Macaca fascicularis: one gene and its partners. The protein of the gene in region 3 interacts with the protein of the main gene of each other region in a pairwise test. Links are inferred from orthologs where the notes say so. Each region holds a gene or a part of one and is shown on either strand. Other genes may lie near its edges. The genes, in order: ZGPAT, KANSL1 and CDR2.

Region 1 (3,746 bases), on a different chromosome or scaffold from region 3:
GGCTGTGGCCAAGGGCCAGCTGGACTGTGAACGTCACGGCATCCTCAAGGCCCCAAACCCACAGCCTGCTATTTAGACCCCTTACTGTTTAGACCCCTTACTGTTTAGACCTCTTACTGTTTAGACCCACGGTGGTGGTGATTTTGGATAGACTCATTCCCTTGTAGTTCTTGTTAAACCGGGTTTTTGACTGTTCCAGGAAGGTCTGAGGAGAGAGGGAGAGGCAGACACATCAAGTAGGGGCTACACTGGCTTCCCAAATATCCTTCCTCAGGCCTGTTCCTTAAGAGAGAAAAACAGAAACAAAGCAACACTCTGCTCTTCAGGAAGCTGGTGGTGACAATCCTGTCGTCTCAGGTGAAATGTGGATTCCATCTGGGTAGTGAACATGCAGCTGACAGCACAAAACCGAAGCGGGGGCCACCCGGCCGTGGGAAAGGTGCGGGCAAGGGAGTGGGCACTCACCGTCTTCCCAGCATTGTCCAGGCCCAGGATCAGGATGCAGTACTCGTCCTTCTGAAACATGTACTTGTACAAGCCCGACAGCAGCGTGTACATCCTGCCCTGGGCGCCCCAACATGTGTCAGTGTGCAGCCGGAACGCAGCTCCCCGCCCCCGGGCTTCTCCACGGTGGTCAGGGGCGCCCCACGTCCAGCTGGCCGCTCAGGACCAGAGCCTGGGGGCCATTCCCGACTCTCCCTCCTCCACCGCACCCCTGCAACTCCTCCCAGGCCGGCCGCCACTCCGTCCTTCCGCTCACAGCAATGACTGCGACCTTTCCGAACCCGCAGCGGCTCCGGTCCCTCCCCTGCTCGCGGGACCACCCAGCCGGGTGTTCGCGGTGAGCTCCGCTGCGCTCCCGCCCTCCCCCGAGGTTTCGCTCCCACGCTTCACGCGCGCGGAACGGGGAACACACTCGCGGCAGCCCCGCCTGGGCCCCCGCGCCCCACCCGGGAGCAGCGAGCCGCCGGCGCGCTCCCCAGGAGCTCCCCAGGGACGCCCCATCAACCCATTTCTTAAAACGGGGACGGCCAGCGGGAAGCGGACTACAGGGCGGGTGCGCAGCGGCCCGGCTGCTCCCGGAGGCGGCGCGCGGCGGGCAGGGAACGACTCCCGCGGAGAAAGAACCCGCGTCGGGGACCCCGGCTACGGCCGCCCCATGCCGCGGCCGCCAGGTTGGAGGCTCGCCGACAAGCAGCCAAAGCTGGTTCCTGTCACACCTGCGTCCCACCTCCAGCTCTGGGCCGCCCCTCGGGCCTCGCGCCCCACCGCATAGCCTGCGGCCTACCTGCGACCGCCGCGACCTCGGAGCCGCCGCTGCTGACCCCCGCTGACCTCCGCTGACCCCGCGCTAACCCCGCGCGGCGCCTGACGGGACGAGAGCCGGCCTCAGGGAAGGAGCTGAAACGCGTCCCGGCGGCCTCCGCGCTCCGCTTCCCGGCTGCCCCCGCGCGCCAGGCACTTCCGGAAGTGGCGGCGCTCGGGAGGAAGTGCTGGTCGGCGGCGGGGACGAAAGGGGGGTGCCGGGCCGCTCTAGCCGGTGAGGCCGGCGGGCTCTCTATGGCGGCGGCTGGGAAACCGCGCGGGGGAGGTTCCCTGCCCGGGGAGAGGGGACCCCGGTTTGCGGGGACGCGGCCTTGGCCAGACTGCAGAGACGCCGGGCGCGGGGGCGGGGCCGGCCTGGAAGGCAGCGGGCGCGGCGGGTGGGCTCGGCGGAGGGCCGGGCGGCGGGGCGCCCCGCGGGGAGGGGGTCTCCGGAGTGACGCGGGACCCGGCTAGCGGCGAGCCCAGGGCGGCTCGGAAGGGAAGCGCGGAGCCTGAGCGGGGGTACCCGGTCTGCGACCTCTGCGCTGGGAGCTGTGCCTCTGAGCCGGTGTCTCCCCGAGGGACAGGGGACGTGCCCGTGCCCTCCCGCAGTCTGTGGGGCCGGTCCCGAGACGCGAGGCTCACCTGGCTTCTCTTCTCGCAGCCCTGGTCCAGCGCCTCCCTCTCTCAGCATGGACGAGGAGAGCCTGGAGTCGGCCTTGCAGACCTACCGTGCGCAGCTGCAGCAGGTGGAGCTGGCCCTGGGCGCCGGCCTGGATTCGTCTGAGCAGGCGGACCTGCGCCAGCTGCAGGGGGACCTGAAGGAGCTCATCGAGCTCACCGAGGCCAGCCTGGTGTCTGTCAGGAAGAGCAAGTTGCTGGCCGCGCTGGACGAAGAGCGCACGGGCCGGGAAGATGCTGAGTACCAGGCTTTCCGGGAGGCCATCACTGAGGCGGTGGAGGCGCCAGCAGCAGCCCCTGAGTCCGGATCAGAGACCGTTCCTAAAGCAGAGGCGGGGCCCGAATCTGCAGCAGGTGGGCAGGAGGAGGAAGAGGGAGAGGACGAGGAAGAGCTGAGTGGGACAAAGGTGAGCGCACCCTACTACAGCTCATGGGGCACTCTGGAGTATCACAACGCCATGGTGGTGGGAGCGGAAGAGGCTGAGGATGGTTCGGCGGGTGTCCGTGTGCTCTACCTGTACCCCACTCACAAGTCTCTGAAGCCGTGCCCGTTCTTCCTGGAGGGAAAGTGCCGCTTCAAGGAGAACTGCAGGTAAAACCCTTTGTTATCAGGATGCCAACCTTGGGGCGTAAGGGGCACGCACACAGGGTCGGGTCAGGGTGGCCCTCCCTTTGCTTTGCAGTTTTGTCTCAGCTTCTTGGGGCAGGCATGCTTTGTGACAGCAGTGTCTGTGTTCAGGCGTCTGCGTCTTTGTTCCGGGGTAAATCAAGAAGCATAGAAGGTGGCCGGGTGCGGTGGCCCACGCCTGTAATCCCAGCACTTTGGGAAGTCAAGGCGGGCAGATCACCTGAGGTCAGGAGTTCAGGACCACGCTGGTCAACATGGTGAAACCCTATCTCTGTTAAAAACACAAAATTCAACTGGTCGTGGTGGCGCGCACCTGTGGTCCTAGCTACTCAGGAGGCTGAGGCAGGAGAATTGGTTGAACCCAGGAGGCCAAGGTTGCAGTGAGCGGAAATGGAGCCACTGTACTCCAGCCTGAGCAACAGTGCAAGGCTTATGTGGAAGAGAATAGGTCTCCAACCTATCGTCATTGTTTTTTTGTTTGGTTGTTGTTTTAATTTTTTTTGAGACAGGGTCTTACTTTGTCAACCAGGCTGGAGTGCAGTGGCGCAGTCCTGGCTTACTGCAGCCTGGACCTCCTGGGCTCAACTGATCTCCTGCCTTAGCGCCCCTAGTAATTGGGGTACAGACTCACACTACCACATCCAGCTAATTTTTGTATTATTATTACTTGTTTATTTATTTATTTTTTGAGATGGAGTCTTGCTCTGTCGCCCAGGCTGGAGTGCAGTGGCGCAATCTCGGCTCACTGCAAGCTCTGCCTCCCGGGTTCAAACAATTCTCCTGCCTCAGCCTCCCTAGTAGCTGGGATTACAGGCACCTGCCACCATACCTGGCTAATTTTTTTGTACTTTTTAGTAGAGACGGGGTTTCACCGTGTTAGCCTGGATGGTCTCAATCTCCTGACCTTGTGATCCGCCCACCTCAGCCTCCCAAAGTGCTGGGATTACAGGCGTGAGACACAGTGCCTGCTTTTTTTTTTTTTTTTTTTGGAGATAGAGTTTCACTCTTGTTGCCCAGGCTGGAGTGCAGTGGCATAGTCTCAGCTTACTGCAACCTCCTTCTCCTGGGTTGAAGTAATTCTCTGCCTCAGTGTCCAGAGTAGCTGGAATTACAGGTGCCCACCACCACGCCC
Region 2 (3,746 bases), on a different chromosome or scaffold from region 3:
CAGTCTTAAGCTCTGCCCTTTGCCTAGTCCTAATGGAGGGTTCTTTGGCCATCTATGTATAAAAGATGAGAGAAGCCAAAGAGACTGGAGAACCACCACATCAATGGGAGCTTTTTCATCTAAAGGTCATCTGTCCACACTGTCCAAATGAGGTTTACCCTGTGAAATAAACTTGGCATAAGTGCTACCTGTTGAGAAAAACAGTGTGAAATGTCACGCAAAGGACTGGGGTGCAGCAGGAGGACTCTGAAAAAGTCATACGTGTAAACCAGCAGGTCTTAGAATGTTCTAATATACTATATGCAGTTTCAGAGTAAACAAATGGTTAATGACACATCTTTTGTAACACATGAATCAGCTACTGATTTGCAAGAGTGGGACACACCCTAGTACCTATGACTCTAAAGTACCTGTTTGAAAAGTGGACCTAGATGTCTGAATTGCCAACCTATCCTAAAATTGGAACAGAATTTTATAACTATGTAAGTTGCCATAATTTAAAGTTAAAAAGATCACTGCCTTTCATTATAATGGAAGTTAATTTGAGAACTTCATTAAAACGTTCACACCGATAATCAAAGAACAGTAGCAATGCAAAGTAAGGTACAGCCAATCAATCCTAGGAAGCAAACACAAGAGGCAAGAGAAATGGCAGGTAAAGGAACTGAAGAATAGCAAATTCAAGAATTACAAGCATTACAAAGTTCTAAAGAAAAATGAATAAAATGAGGCTGGTAATGAAAAAATAACACATCTTACCTTAAGAGGCATCCAAATAGCATTCATAGTGTCAGGATATAAAGACAATACTCAGAAATGAGCAAGAAGTCTTAGTAATTCCCTCGGTTACCAAGTATGAGCAGATAGGAAAATCTTTTGTTTCGATAAGGTATCTGAAAGAGAGGATTTTCATTTAGACTAAAAAATAATCAAGAAAATGCAAATAGTTTAAGCTACATGGGCAGAGATTTTGAAGTACTATTTGCCTCATCGCACTAAAAAAGTATAGAAAATACAGTCCCCTTTAGAAAACGGCAAATGTGTGTGTGTCTCCGTACATATGTGTAGAAACATACGTTATATAAAAAGAGAAATAAATATGTAACACTTACTTTAGATAATGTAAAATTGCTTATCAAACAGCCAAAATCCCAGAGAGAATAAAGTTTCCAGGGTACCTCATAAACACTAAACGTGATTTGTTAACTAACCATCTAAAAAAAGACCCTTGCTACATTTAATTATATTTAGTAAAGTAAAACCTCTCTAATCATCCCGACTGTCCCAAGATTATGCTTAAGTTTCAGAGTCAATTCCACATGAAAAGTAAAACCTATTCTTGACTGAAGTACTAGAAACAAATAAAATACCCTTCTTCCCCAGAGATCGTTAAAAGCAGACCGAGCAACTTAATTTTGAGGGTAGGAGGAAGGTAAATTTGCCTGGAGGCTGGAGGATGGACTAAATGACCTCTAGTAGGATCCTCGTTCAAGTCCTGGGCCTGAATACAATTCCAGCTTAACCAGTTACTGCTTCGCTTAAAATGGAGGCTTGCCCGCGTAGGGACAAAAATAACAGCACCCACTTCGTTAAAAACAAATGTCGAAAAGTACCCTTATTTAAATAAAAATAAAAAATAAACACCTCTGGAGTGGATGTGTTCTTGCTATGCGTTTGTCACTGAGGCTTCGAAGACTTGGCATCACTTTCCTTACCGCTCACCGGATTTTGGGGGAGGAGCGGGGGGCGGCAGTTTGACTCCTGACCCAAGTCTCAGGCAGGCTTCAAAGCCCCACCAGGGCCCCCAACTCCAGAGCCAGAGGGAGCGGAGAGGCGAGAGCCCGAGATCGCACCTCCCCCCACCGCGGACCCCAGTCCCAAACCTACCCCTCACCCCTCCGCAGTGGGGCGCCTCCTTCTGCCCCATTCCCATTGTTAGGGAGGGGAGAGCGCGGGGTGGGCTCAGGGCAGGGGCGCCCGCGGCCGTTGCCCGGCTCGCTTCAGGAGGGGCGGCCCGCGGGATGCGGCTTCCCTTCCTCTCCGCGTCGGTCCGTCCCACCTCGGCTCGGCCTGGCGCCCCGAGCTCCGCTCCGCGCCCCCGGCCGCGGCCCCGGCCCGCCCCCGGGGCAGCCAGGCCCCCCGGCCACTCGGTCGGCAGCCTGCGGCCCAGGCCTACGAGTGGGCGCTGGGCGGGGGTCCCCGTGCCCCACACACGCGTCCCTCTCCCCGAGCCCCGCCGCTTCCAGGGCCCTCGGCGGCGCCCGCTCCCCGGGCCCCGCCGCCCCCCGCCTCCCAGCCGGGCCGCTCCCTCGAGCTCGTCGTGTCGGGGCCGCCGCCTCTACCTCACCATCACCCCTGTCCACTCGTGCCCCCACCCCCAGGGGCACCAGTGCCAAAGACAGCTCCCCCAGCCCCGGACCTACCTGCACGGTTCAACCAAGCCTAGAAGTGGGGGCGGGGAATCTTCCGCCCTCCTCTGGCGTTCATTGGCCCTTCAGGGGCATATCGTGAGCACCATTGGCTGAGCGATAGTGTCCGTCAGAGAGATGGGGCGGGACCGAAGGGGGAGAGGGATGCTGGTGCCTCGGCGTCTCTGTCTCTGTGTATCTCGCTGTCTCTGTCTCTGTCTCGGCCCTTGGAAACGAGAGGCTTTTGGATGAGAGGACTAGAAGCGGGCCTGAGGTGGGAGGAATAGGAATAGGAATCCTGCCAGAGCGTCACGCCAGTTGGCCACTCTGAACCCCCTACCTAAGTCCCCTTTAGGTTCTCTTCTCCATCACCCCCAACCCCTGCCCCTCACCCCTCGAGGTTCCTTCATCCAGGAAGCGACGTGATGAAAACTCCAGGCCGGAAGGCCATAGGGAGAGATGTTATATATGTATAGAAAATATACACATATAAATATTTATATATAAATTCAACCAGATATCAGTTCACTAGGGCCTGGAAAGGAAAGGGCACACATCTCACAGACAGGGAAGGACTTGAGATAGAGCCGGCAGAAGAAGGAATCAAAAATCACTCTTACGAGCTGGCAACAGTGGTTACCTCCTGGGAGGGGAACTGAGTGCCTAGGGAACCAGTGGGCGGAAGACTTACATATCTCGGCGTATCCTTTGTATCCATTGATTTTTGCACCATTCATCAAGATTCCAATTTTTTAAAAATTGATTTAAAGGTTTAAATAAGGTCCCAAAACCAGGGGACAGATAAGATAGTTGGCCAGGAAAATTGGCACAACATGCAGATTTGGGGAGGAATCTTAGCTTTTAATATATTCAGTTCCAGGTAACAGGGTTTTGTAAAACCCAGTGAAGGTGTCCTAGAGGCAACTGAAGTTACAGAACTTGAGAGAGGGTAGACAATCAGGAGGACTAGAGACTATGTGGGGTCCTCTGCCTGAAGATAGTGGTCTGTGACATGCTAAACTCCCTAAGCAGGGTAATAAGACACCCACGGTAAAAGGTAGGAGAACGAAAAAGAAGGTCAGTGAGGTAAAAGAAACAGAATATTAAAGAGGCATGAAAATTAAGGAAGGAAGGGTCTGTGGAAAATAGAACAATAAAACTATGAGAGAGGACGGGCGCGGTGGCTCATGTTTGTAATCACAGCACTTTGGGAGGCCAAGGCAGGTGGATCACCTGAGGTCAGGAGTTCCAGACCAGCCTGGGCAGCATGGTGAAACCCCATCTCTAATAGAAATGCAAAAAAAATTAGCCAAGTGTAGTGGCACACCTCTGTAATCC
Region 3 (3,646 bases):
GTTTGACAGCCCTCTGACTTTACATCGTTTTGAGAAGTTGCGCAAGGAAGCAATAGGAACTGCCTTAGCTTTGTGCCAACTCGGCCCTTCTCCCCCATACTGTAGTAACTCCAGGCCTACTTCTCCAGTAGTATAGCTCTTCCCTCCACTGGTCCTTTTCAGGAATTGAAGTCTAATCAGTGCGCCAGCCAGAGGCCAGTTTGTCATGGGATTTCCTGGGGAGCTTAAATGGAAGTGGATCAGAGAACTGATACCAGTAGCCACCTCCTTTCCTCGTTGTATGCATTTGCTAAATAAGCAAAGCAATGAGGCAAATGTCACAAGCAACATCAGGCTTCCAAGTCTACAAACACTTGTCTGAATGAGAGAGGTGATAGGCAATAGGCAAATTAGTAGTAGAGCTAGAGGTTCAATTAAGAATGAGAGGAGAGTGATCGGTATTTTGTTCTCTGTTCATCTATTTCCTGCTTAGTTTTCTTGATGCAACTAAAGATCTCCTTAAACAACGCTTTGTATTCTGGAGGTGTTGTAGGGGAACTGACGGGCTCTGGGTTGACAGAGGCCAGTTCCCAGCCGCTGGCAACAGGCTCAGACTGGGCGTTCACTCCAGTCAGGTCCTTGGCCGGAGCCCTGGAGGTCTGTACAGCCTTGTGTGACAGGGAGTCCTGTTCCTGTTGGCACTTCTTCAGCAGCTCTTCATACTTCACCTTCAGGGCACTGTACTGTGTGTCCACTTCGTGCAGAAGGGAGATGCCCCTCTGTTTCACAGCCTTGGCCCTCCTGATGCAGGTCTCCTCATGGCCCTTCACGATGTCACTCCCTGCCAAGCTGCTGAGGATCGTCTCACTGCTGCTGCGCTTGAGAGGCTTTCTGTGTGGTTCCGGCACAGTCAGGAACATCTCTTCCAGCAGGCTCTGGCTGGGTTCTTTGAAAGGAACAAACAGAGAGTCTGGCACCAGCTTCTCAACCCCATTCACAAATGGATGCTCTGACTGCAACATCTGTCGCATCTCTGCCACCTCAGCCTCTAGTTCCAGCGCCCGTGCTCGGTAGGCACCTGTGGCCCCCAGCTGCTGCTCCAGTTCACTGTTCTCCTTTAAAACCAGCCCATATTCCTCCTCCATAGTCACCCGCTTCTGCCGCTCCAGGCTCAGCTGGGCCTGCAACATTGTCACCGTTTTTTTCAAGTGCTCATTTTCCTCTTCATCAGGGCTTGGCTGACTTTGCAAGGAAGTGATCTTTTCAGCGAACACATGATCATACACGAAGTGTCTAGGGAAAAAAATATTGAAAGAATGTATTACACAGGTCCACTGAGAATGAAGTGAGGAAGACTGGTGATTTTTTTTCAACTAAATAAATTTGAGGAGCTGTGACAGTGACTGATTTTTTTTTCTTTTTTTTTTGAGATGGAGTCTCACTCTGTCGCCAGGCTGGAGTGCAGTGGAGCGATCTCAGCTCGTTGCAACCTCAGCCTCCCGGGTTTAAGCAATTCTCCTGCCTCAGCCTCCCAAGTAGGTGGGATTTTAGGCATGCGCCACCATGCCTGGCTAATTTTGTATTTTTAGTAGAGACGGGATTTCTCCATGTTGGTTAGGCTGGTTGGTCTCCCAACCTCAGGTGATCCTCCTGCCTCGGCCTCCCAAAGTGCTGGGATTTACAGGTGTGAGCCACTGCACCCGGCCGACAGTGACTGATTTTTAGCCACACTGGAGCAGTGGCTAAAATGGAACTGTGTGAGGCTGGTAAATAAACACATGAAAGCAAACTCAGTTTTTGCGATGAATCTTTTTTTAATGTTGAAAGTACTAAAGAACATCTATTCCCAAAGACTGGCAGTATGCCAATGACCTCACAAGGGAAACCTTAAAAAGTACTGGTGCCTGGGTCCCAACCCACAGATTCTAACCTAGTTGGTCTGCTACCCGGCCTGAGGGTTTCTAAAGGCTCTCCAAATGATTCATAATACATAATTACGATTGAATCACTACAGCAAATTACTGTTGCTGTGGTGTTTAACCAGGAATGTTCATCAGAATTGCCTGGGCAGCTTTTTACCCACACCCAGAAATTCTGATTTAGGCCTGAGGGAATGTGTTGGTATCTGCATTTTGAAAAACTCCACAGGTGATCTGATGTGCAGCCAAAGACCCACCAAATGAACCACCTGATTTCTCCTGCTCAGTCCAAGGCACCTTGCTTGACTATTTATTTGTGTTTTTATTTGCTTATCTGCCGTTCTGTTAGACTGAAAGCTCACAGGGATAGGAACTCTATTCTGCTCACCAGCCCTCAGGTCTGGCATAGAGCTTGCCATACAACAAGTGTTCCACAAATACTTCTTAAAGATTCAGACTTGTAACTCTAAATTATAAAGGTACTTCTTTAAGCAAAAAATCTTGTTTGCTTGAATTTTTGTTTTACCAATATTTCTATAGTCTATCAGAAGTCATTCATCTTAAACTATGATTTAACACATTAAAAGCCCTGAAATAAGTGCTCTAAGACTTTCAAAATAAGAATTACCAATATATAAGAACTGTGTAATTTCTATGTTTAAGTGATTTTGTTCAAAACCAATGGTAGCTTAATAGCTAAGTGACATTTCTTAAAATGGTACTTTCAATCTACTGGAATTCAGAATGTGCCAATGACATGAGACAGTCCCTGCTGTAACTCCACAGACAGGTAGGCTCTTACTGGCGGAGATCATACAGCTCCTTCAGACATGCAAAGCTGGGTGCCGGTTTCTCCTGGTCACACTTCCCCTGGCTCCTTCTCCCTCGGCCAGATGACTTCAGCTCCTCCACTTGGCTCTGCAGGTGATCAATGTTGGTTTGCAGGCATTCAATCGTTTCAGTCAGGCTGTAAGGAACAGACAGAAGCCATTGCTGCTTGTCATACTGAATCAAGGGCAAAAGCGGTGAGGAGAGATTAGATGCGAGCCACTCACATTGGGCTTTCTTAATTGGAAAGGACATCTATTTAATCTCCATTCTCCAGAAAGAATTAAATTAAACTTTATCCCATATTGACCTAAACCCACTGCAGCCATGTTCTATTCTAGTTTATACTAAAGAACTTCCCTCTAGGCCTTCCTTGTCAGATTCTAGAAAATTTACCTCAGAATCTTTTGCTGTGAGGCCTTGCTGTCAGCAACTAGTTTTTGATTTGTTTCTTCCAGTTCCCTTGCTGTGACATCTAATTGTTCATAAACCTTTGCATGTTGTTCGTTCATCTGCCGTAGAAGCTCCACTTGCTTGGTCAGATACTGTAAGAGAAGATCAGGACCAGGTGACACAAACAGATAAGATACCTGCTGTTCCTTGGCTGGCCATGGTGGCTCATGCCTGTAATCCCAGCACTTTGGGAGGCCGAGACATACGGCTCACCTGAGGTCAGGAATTCGAGACCAGCCTGACCAACATGGTGAAATCCCGTCTCTACTAAAAATACAAAAATTAGGCAGGTGTGGTGACACATGCCTGTAATCCCAGCTACTTGGGAGGCTGAAGCAGGAAAATTACTTGAACCCGGGAGACAGAGGTTGCAATGAGCTGAGATGGCGCCATTGCACTCCAGCCTGGGCAACAAGAGTGAAACTCCATCTCAAACAAAGAAACAAACAAAAAAAGATACCTGCTGT

Evidence for each region.
Region 1: the proteins of CDR2 (region 3) and ZGPAT interact in binary tests that used the Homo sapiens proteins (3 or more experiments, as listed by UniProt). The two-hybrid records come from large-scale screens. The link is inferred for Macaca fascicularis from reciprocal best matches to the Homo sapiens genes CDR2 and ZGPAT.
Region 2: the proteins of CDR2 (region 3) and KANSL1 interact in binary tests that used the Homo sapiens proteins (3 or more experiments, as listed by UniProt). The two-hybrid records come from large-scale screens. The link is inferred for Macaca fascicularis from reciprocal best matches to the Homo sapiens genes CDR2 and KANSL1.

Annotation. Positions count from the first base shown.
Region 1 is NC_088384.1:119,823,714-119,827,459, forward strand, and holds the start of ZGPAT (zinc finger CCCH-type with G patch domain-containing protein), read left to right. Parts: upstream 1-1,460; 5' UTR 1,461-1,540; intron 1,541-1,969; 5' UTR 1,970-1,997; coding exon 1,998-2,578; intron 2,579-3,746. Other genes in the region: ARFRP1 (ADP-ribosylation factor-related protein 1), read right to left, coding at 118-205, 466-564, 1,221-1,274. UniProt on the Homo sapiens protein: Transcription repressor that specifically binds the 5'-GGAG[GA]A[GA]A-3' consensus sequence. Represses transcription by recruiting the chromatin multiprotein complex NuRD to target promoters.
Region 2 is NC_088390.1:67,803,180-67,806,925, forward strand, and holds the start of KANSL1 (KAT8 regulatory NSL complex subunit 1), read right to left. Parts: upstream 2,469-3,746; 5' UTR 2,424-2,468; intron 894-2,423; 5' UTR 760-893; intron 1-759. UniProt on the Homo sapiens protein: Non-catalytic component of the NSL histone acetyltransferase complex, a multiprotein complex that mediates histone H4 acetylation at 'Lys-5'- and 'Lys-8' (H4K5ac and H4K8ac) at transcription start sites and promotes transcription initiation.
Region 3 is NC_088394.1:21,335,762-21,339,407, forward strand, and holds part of CDR2 (cerebellar degeneration-related protein 2), read right to left. Parts: intron 3,272-3,646; coding exon 3,123-3,271; intron 2,866-3,122; coding exon 2,701-2,865; intron 1,273-2,700; coding exon 414-1,272; 3' UTR 1-413.